Neodiprion lecontei: one gene and its partner. The protein of the gene in region 2 interacts with the protein of the main gene of each other region in a pairwise test. Links are inferred from orthologs where the notes say so. Each region holds a gene or a part of one and is shown on either strand. Other genes may lie near its edges.

The links. The genes of interacting proteins can lie anywhere in the genome.
Region 1: the proteins of proteasome subunit alpha type-3 (region 2) and GATOR complex protein Iml1 interact in a two-hybrid assay, tested with the Caenorhabditis elegans proteins (2 studies listed by BioGRID). The link is inferred for Neodiprion lecontei from reciprocal best matches to the Caenorhabditis elegans genes pas-7 and depd-5.

Annotation. Positions count from the first base shown.
Region 1 is NC_060263.1:5,519,282-5,524,119, forward strand, and holds the start of GATOR complex protein Iml1, read right to left. Parts: upstream 3,055-4,838; 5' UTR 2,753-3,054; coding exon 2,402-2,752; intron 2,302-2,401; coding exon 2,176-2,301; intron 2,017-2,175; coding exon 1,733-2,016; intron 1,665-1,732; coding exon 1,477-1,664; intron 1,335-1,476; coding exon 1,138-1,334; intron 1,042-1,137; coding exon 758-1,041; intron 652-757; coding exon 422-651; intron 362-421; coding exon 146-361; intron 76-145; coding exon 1-75. Other genes in the region: rRNA methyltransferase 3, mitochondrial, read left to right, coding at 3,478-3,839, 3,937-4,178, 4,251-4,406, 4,502-4,838.
Region 2 is NC_060265.1:20,676,942-20,680,831, reverse strand, and holds proteasome subunit alpha type-3, read left to right. Parts: upstream 1-1,559; 5' UTR 1,560-1,720; coding exon 1,721-1,741; intron 1,742-1,834; coding exon 1,835-1,917; intron 1,918-2,029; coding exon 2,030-2,421; intron 2,422-2,903; coding exon 2,904-3,172; 3' UTR 3,173-3,282; downstream 3,283-3,890. Other genes in the region: alpha-(1,6)-fucosyltransferase, read right to left, coding at 1-33.

The DNA of each region.
Region 1 (4,838 bases), on a different chromosome or scaffold from region 2:
CGCTAAGTTGTTCGGGACTAGACTGCGTAGGCACAGCTTGGTAGTGGTGTTGTTGTATAAGCACACCCGTAGGTCCTGAGAAATATGACACGCGAAATTATTGCAAGAAAATACTTACGGAGTAAATGCAGTCGCGATACTCCACCTTTCGGAAAAATGTGAGTCCATCTTCGCCTGTTACTTGTCAACTTTATCGTTACGTGAGACGGGTCAAATGGATTGATCAGAGCTCTTCCTGGCCTAATGTTGTTGGGTTGAGTAACGGAATTGGTAGGACTTCCAGCACTACCGACGACTGGTCTGAACGGAGGTGATATCTCCACATCTCCATGGTCATCAATTAAAGATATTCTTGGTTTTGCTATGGAAAATTGTATCGATTTAGCTCTGTACTTGACATGTAACAACTATACCATCTTACAATTAACTTCTCCGTTAGAGTTGACACTTATCAAATCGTCCGCTCGATGAGGAATCGAAATTGCTGCACTGCGGGAGGCAACCGTTGGGGAAGAATGAGTATCGGGAGGTGGATGATGTATATCAGGATCCGACATCTTTCTTTTCAACAATTTAAGAGCCTGGGAATTGCTGTGCGTTTCCATGCAGGCTACACTAGTTTTCTTTGTTCTAGTCGATACTCTCTGCAAGCTAGATTACAAATTTATAAAAAATAACAAATCGAGTTTAATACAAAATACAAGTCTTCAAATTAATTTAAATTATTATAAACTAATTGTTAAAAAAATAGTTTCACCTAGCAGTATGAACAGGTGGTAACTGGAAAACCTGAGCATCGTAGGCATCATAGTCGAACAGTGTATTACGCAGACATTCGCTGCCATCTTCCTGCAGAAGCTTTGTCTTGTTTGGCAATTTTCCACACTCTGACGGTGGTTTTGATATTTTAGGTGGTAACTTGATGCGAGGTATGAAGGTTGAGTAAGGTATTTTTTTGTTTGTCGAATAGAAACTGAGATTTATCCAATGCGGCATGCTGTAGTCGTCTGCAGCATTTATCGACGTATCTTTGTTATGGAACTACAAGAATTTTGTCTTATAATAAAATATTCTTATGTGATAATAGAATTAACACAAGAACTCTGGTTTCAAGATTTCAACATAATGGAACAGTACCTTTAACAAAGGAACTGCGTGCAGCGGCTGTTCTCCCACGCAAACCAAGTCACTACCCACACCATTATCAATGATTCTTTGTTTAGTAACGTTGGTCAATTCTCTATCAACTTCGAATACTCCAACCCCCGGAGTGATAACCACAGAAAGCTGCCCGGTTCGATCAAAACTGCGATCCAGGTAGTGTTTTTCGAAAACTAAAAAAGAAAGCATATCACAATATCGTACATCACATTGCATAATAATTTCGTAATATAAACTTCTTGCGAAAGAAATAAATTGCTATTCAATTTCCACACATCTACAGGTTATTAGTCAATAGTATCAACTATCGCTCACCGTTCAAGGACATATTCAGAACTTCTAAGAAATTCCCTTGAGCAGCTGTTGAGTTTATGGCTTTTGGCATAACAATTCCAGGCCGTTGGTGATATTCGAGGACAATTTTTTGATAATCGGTAAACAGTTTTCGCAATTGAACTAATATATTGCTCCAGTCTTCGTATCTCTCATTTTGTACAGCAACTCTATAACACACGTTGGAGATGTTTAAGATTGAGCATTTTGTGGTGGATGCCATTGATATTTGCATTACCTATAAAAATCTTCGTAGAATCTACCCCGATAATCGTGCTGCAAGCACTCTCTCATGTGATTGGGAAATTCTTCAAGGCTTGTCGCGTTATAAAATGTTCGTGAGAATAAAACTATCGTCACTTCATGGTTGCTACCGTTTTTCTTCCACTTTTGAAAAAGATCAGCTAAAAACCCATTTACTGCTTTCTCAAAATACAAGTCTCCATGAATATCAAAGTCCCACATTTCGGAACTCATTTGGATAAACAGGTATACCATGCTTGTCGACGAACGGAAGACCACCTATTGTGAAGACAATGATTTAGAACATTGTTATCAATGTTAAAGCTATGTCGATTGATTCGTCGAATTCAAGTTTAATAGCTCGATTATTGCTATAAAATTAAGAGCTTTTTGATTGTATCCTTGGCCAGATTTAGCAAATTGTTACAGATATTTCACCTTTGTATCGTCAGTTATCACGCCACAGGCAACTCGATCCCCCTGGGACCACATTTCGTGTACTTGGCACCTAATGCTTCCTCCGCAGAATTCGATCTTCTTATTTAAATACACGCACGTGTTGACCTAGAGAAATTAAGATTTTAAATCAAAGTTCGATGAGATGGGAGTTTGTTTAGTGGGAAACTTTATCGATACACAATAAAAGAGTCAGACTTTTAATTACCAGACAATTTTTCAATCTCCACATCTCACTACGCCCCATATATTGGTCCTTGAAGGTAAGCTCGACAGAATCCAAGGCGACATCGTCGGGATTGACAATATTCATGTAAACATCAGCGAATGTTCTAAGTTGAAAAGTGGTCGCAATGTTATTTTCAACACTGACGGTTTCTCTGCCTTGTAGATCCTCCTTGAAGGCGGTGATCTGCAGAAGCAAACGACTGAATTCATCTTCCGGATGAAATATCTCAACGATATCGCCTTTCTTTATTCCCGGATAATCTTTGGGATTTATAATCAAATCCTCCCCACTAAAGTTCTTCTGATGAACGATCAACTTGAACAGCTTCATTTTAAGCTGCTGATCATCAACAACGATGGTTTAATTTATCACTGGGTTAAGAGGTCACCTGACCTCCGCAGGCTCATCGACAGCTATGTTCGAGGGGGATATATTTTCAGCCTGCATTATTTATCCATTGATCCATTGTCTTCCAAGATGAGTGTCGAAACCGGCGATTAGCAATCACAGAGTCCAGAACTGAGAAACAATATTAAACTAAACGAACTACTGTTAACTAAGCATTGTCTCGCGGCTCACTTCGCGACCTCCACGTTCATCTTGGACGACACACAGCGCACTTTACGTGTCAAAACAATCGACACACGCTCCCGACTGAACGATTGACGACGACGCTTGCGTAAATATCTCTGTTGCTCTCTACGATTCACGAATCCGGTCACGTGTCGCAATTCGCAATCTGCATATTAACCACGATACTAACCTGTTTTCAAAGCAAAACACATACGCTCCTTTAATTTTTATGGTGTGGTGTGTGGCGGCACGCATGTTGCTACAAGAGCTCCAGCTTAACCTCAAAACCGGCGTTTTGCATATCACGGGCAAAAACAATTGAGTTACGATTGCGTCATTCAAAAAACAAGTGCCGGATATATTACGGACTGAAGTTGCTCTTTCAAATAATTTCAATGCTGATTGTAACACCGGTCAGCTAATTATTAGAATCAACGCTGAAAGTGTAGCGGTAGAAAAGAAGAAAGACACACACACATGTTATGAAAATGGCATTTACGTTTACAACAATGCAAAGCACCATGAGGTGTCTTCAAAGTACAATAACTCAGCGGCAGATTAGCGCTCAAGTGTTTTTACGAGTCAAAGGCTACAGTCGGTGGACTCATCGCAAGCCATCAAAAATTGTTAACGAGAAAGATCTGTACAACGATCAGGAGCACACCGTTCCTCAAAATATTCTGCAGACCGCCCAGTTTGCATTTGCCCGACGACAACGGCTCAAGCTGGCCGAAGACAAGAAAGAAAACGCAAAGATTCAAGAAGAGCAGAGGGAAGGTGCCACGTTGAACAATGACGGGACTCCGATTTTCACTAAACTCGACAGGGACGATCCCATAATAAGGTACGCATTGCGGATCAACTGGACTTGATCTCGTTTTAGACATAACTTTTTATCTTCTAGCCTTTGTTTGTGATTCACAATTTACTCGCCGTTACAGCTCTTTAATGCAAGTCGTAAGATCGCGTAAAAAAGATAAGGATGACAACAGAATTCTGCTGGAGGGATTTAGATTGATCGAGGATGCCATAAAAGCCGGATGTATGCCTGAGATAATTATCTTCAGCAGAAAATCTGACATTGCCAAAATATCTCTACCCAAAGATGGTGTCAAGCTTTACAAACTTCCATATCAAACGATACAGCTATGGTCAGATTTGACTGTTTCCCCAGGCATTATGGGTAAGTTGCCAATACTTCCATTTTGTTTTCATCTGGCTAACGCTCGACTAACAATCTGGGATTCTCGTTTAGGTATATTCGTAGCTCCCGATGTAAGTAACAAGGAACCTTCTCCCGATGCGTTACCAATAACTGTGATATGCGACAATGTAAGAGAGCCCGGAAACTTGGGAGCTATTCTTCGGGTTGCGGCTGGAGTCGGATGCGAGAGAGTAATTTTAACCAAAGGTCCGTACCCGAAGAAATGAACTTGATTGTTTCGTTCCAATCTACAATCGAAGCTGTGCTCAAATTCACTTTATGTTTAAACCTGTTAATTTTAGGCTGCGTGGATCTTTGGAATCCGAAAGTGCTGAGATCAGCTGCAGGTGCGCACTTTCGCGTGCCGATATACAAATCACAAACGTGGTCAGAAGTGCAGTATTTAATAAGCGAAAATGCGAATATTTTCGTTGCTGACAACAATTCGGAATCACCGGTAGAGTCCAATGTGGATCTCGGTACTTCAAGCTCTGATTCTAGCTCAAGTTCGGACTCCGACAGTAGCGACTCCGAGGCTGAGACTGACGCAGGATCCAAAGAAGGTTTGAAGAATACCAATAAAGATTCTACCGAGAAGTCACCCCGCGATGCCAAGCTTTCAAAGTCAGATGAAAATGC
Region 2 (3,890 bases):
CCAGCCTGGTCTCCCCGACCACAGAACCACCATTGTGGTCGATTCAAATTTCTATTCCAATTCTACAATACTACCCGACATCTGTAAAGTAAAAAAAGTTCTCAAGTCAGAGAGCTAAGGGTCAAAACCCTAAGACTTTTATCAGATCATGATGAAATAGACGTCTAATTGATTTCAATATTACCATATCCTCATTATAGCTTTATTATCAACGTGATTCTCTAATAAGGAGGTAAATACATCACTTTTCTATATGCACTTAAGCGCAGAGAATGTGCGTACAAAACATAAGGTAACAATTAAGAAGCAGAGCAAGTGTGGATGTAGGTGACAAAAAAAAAAAAAAAAGGAAGTCTCCAATATTATAATCGATAGCTTTGAACAGCAGTTGTGAGCATAAAAACAGCGAATTTAATGCTTGCTGAGTATGATGATAAGACAGATTTGTAGAGCCGAAGGAGTAGATTAATTATTAGTTATAACATTTGTGTGATTGTTAATATTGTTATGATTATTAATATTGTAGTCCAAAAAATGCCATGGTTGACTATTGCTTATAGGAATGCCGACATTATATCAAAAATTCTAAAGAACCTCATGAAATTAGTACATACCACCTGCATTGTAACTATCGACAATTCAAATCTTATCGGTGTCGTAACGAGTGATAAGTTTACACATAATAAACTGATAAGGTGATTTATGAAGAGGGATGGAAAAACGATAGAAATAACTACCATTCATACATAGGTATGAATAAATACTTCCGTTCAGGTAGCGAGATGCGATTACCTTGAATATATTATCTGTGAATTATCCTGCTGAAAGACGCAGGCTACGTTCCAACCGCAAAGCCGGAAAAGCAAAGAGAGAATTGTATACTTGAATGTGTGTAATAAAACGGACGTTTTTACTCACGTCACTCACAGCCGCATATTCATCCGATCGTCCAATTTAACGGACGACAGTACGAGAGTAATTTTCGCAGCACAGGAAGCACCGAGCGCAAACGAATATCGGACGAAGGTTGTTTAAGCACTCAATCAGTCTATGTGTCTCTTGTAAACTGTCATGGACTGTCATTAAAGAATTAAGGTTAACAATTCTTTACCACGAACTACAAACATTAACTCTCGGATGCGACAGCGTAGCGCAGAATTGATATACGGAATTGGAACAGTAACTCGACCTGCGCGTCTGGCGGCGAAGATCACAATCACAAAAGGCGACGACGTATCAAAAGAACACTAATGACTTACCAGTAACTGTTTTTACTCTGATATTAAGCGTTCACAAACACCTGTAACACAGCGTAATTTCAACTTTCATTCTCCCCTTAATCCGAATAATCTTATCAGTAATCAAATACCAACTGATTTAAATGCTTCTGTTGAATCTGGCTTACGGTTTACAAGAGTTGGATAACTGAGGCTCCCAATGACGTCATAGCTGTGCTGCGCAGATATTATCGAGTCCGTCTTTGTCGTTTTCAAGTGTTCACAGTGGTTCATAGCGTAGCGAATATATCGAAGCTGCTGCAGCGTCGTCCGCCTGTTTACTTGCAGCTTCTTACCAACTTTACATGTACCACGGATGAGTGGTCGTGGTTTTGCTTCTGACAATTGAATTCTGATTTCTGCCTATTCACGCCGCGTCGCGTGTAAATAAATAATACAATTAATTGTGCAGAAATAATAATTTTTAATATACTGTAACAAGGATGAGTTCTATAGGAACAGGGGTACGTAAAACTATTAAAAATCGATTAAAAATCTATGTTCTTTCCTGATATTTGACCAGCCAATTGTGACGATTCTAACCTTAAAATTCACAGTACGATCTCTCGGCATCGCAGTTTTCTCCCGATGGTCGAGTTTTTCAAGTGGAATACGCACAAAAAGCGGTAGAAAATAGTGGGTATGTTGAAATTTCATCATCATAAATATAATTGACCGTATCAAGCATGTTTGTTGAAAATAAGAAGTGAATGAATGAATTAAAATAAGCATTTTAATGAAATTTTTTTCAGCACCGTCATTGGCCTCCGTGGTAAAGATGGGGTCGTATTTGCTGTTGAAAAACTCGTCACCTCTAAGCTCTATGAACCTGGCGCTAACAAGCGCCTTTTCAATATAGATAATCATGTCGGAATGGCAGTTTCTGGCCTGTCTTCCGATGCACGACAAATCGCTGAAACTGCACGCACGGAAGCAGCCAGCTACCGTGCTCAGTACGGCATAGGAATACCTCTGAAATATTTGAATGACCGTGTGTCAATGTACATGCACGCTTATACCTTATACTCAGCTGTACGGCCCTACGGCTGTTCGGTTATAATCGGAGCATATGAAGCTGATGGCCCAGTAATGTACATGATCGATCCATCCGGCGTTTCTTATGGCTATTACGGATGTGCTATTGGTAAGAATTTATGTTAGCAACATTCGTGTCAGGAGACAGTACGTATTGCGCTTCTTTTACATCTTGCAAATGAGTTTGAAAGTGTAAATAAGTTGCCAGTTTGACTGTTACTGACTAAGCTGAAAGATTTTTTCTTTTATTCCTTGACTTAAATCAATACGTTTGTCACTAATACACTACATCACTTCTTTTTTCTGTGCGTGTAATATATATACATTTTTTTTATATAACTTTGGAGCAAATTTCAGCAAAAAATATTAGATTTTGTGAGACTACGTAGTATTAACTTATTAGAGTTGAAACAATACAGTACTATCAAATTTTTGCAAGTTCAAACTCAACTAATGTCACAATATTGTAGAATTTTCAGTTACTTATTAAAATTTGCTAGTTTTTTTGATAAAGGTGACTATCGACGATCACATGATGATGTGCAATGTTGAAATGGCAGTAATTTTTGTATACAATTTTTTTTTTCACAGGTAAAGCAAAACAGTCTGCCAAAACAGAAATAGAAAAATTGAAACTTGCCGATATGTCCTGTAAGGATTTGATCAGAGAAGCAGCAAGGATAATTTACTTGCTGCACGACGAATTGAAAGACAAACAATTTGAGTTGGAAATGAGTTGGGTTGGAAATCACACAAACGGTAGACACGAACGTGTGCCATTCGAGATAAAGGCAGAGGCTGAAACGAAAGCACGGCAAGCGATGGACGAAGATTCTGATAGCGATACCGAAGACATGTGAAACGTGTAATGAATATTATTAAATATAATTAAGAAATAATATGTAATTTTCAAGAAACTATCACGAAGTATGTATAAATTACTGCGAAAAATACATTCTTTGTTTATAGATTTGAATTTCTTGATATTGAATAAAGGCTGGTGTGTTGAAAGCTTTTACCCGGTAAAAAATGAATACTTTTATATAACGTGATAAATCGTCCACGATGTTCGTTATCGTTGCAGAGGGATAAACCTTTGGGACAGAAGTAAAACTCGTTTGTTTTACGTAACTGTGATATCCGATTTTGTATTCTTTTTTTCACGCCACATGTGTTTCGATTTATTCTTTTAATTGGATGACACAAGATGAAATTACCTAAAAACATTTCGTACAGTTATATAACACACGGTATGTATTCCATGGGCTAAATCAAGGAAATAATCAATCGGCCGTAGCAATGTTTGTAAAAATTTCATTCGTTCGAGTTACGAATCGAACTATCCAACTTCTTGGAGCTGATCAAGCGGGGCCAATAAATTTATGAGCGACAAAAGTTATACTTTCACCAGGGAACATCGATACCAGCTGTGATGCATATTTTTCTTCAAATGCCTTCTTTTCGGTGAATAAATTAAAATACGCATTTCTCATAGCGCTTACTGTAAATTCTGTCAATATATCAACAAATACATGCTCCTGCAATTTGAACTTATTTATCATACATAAATATGAGACA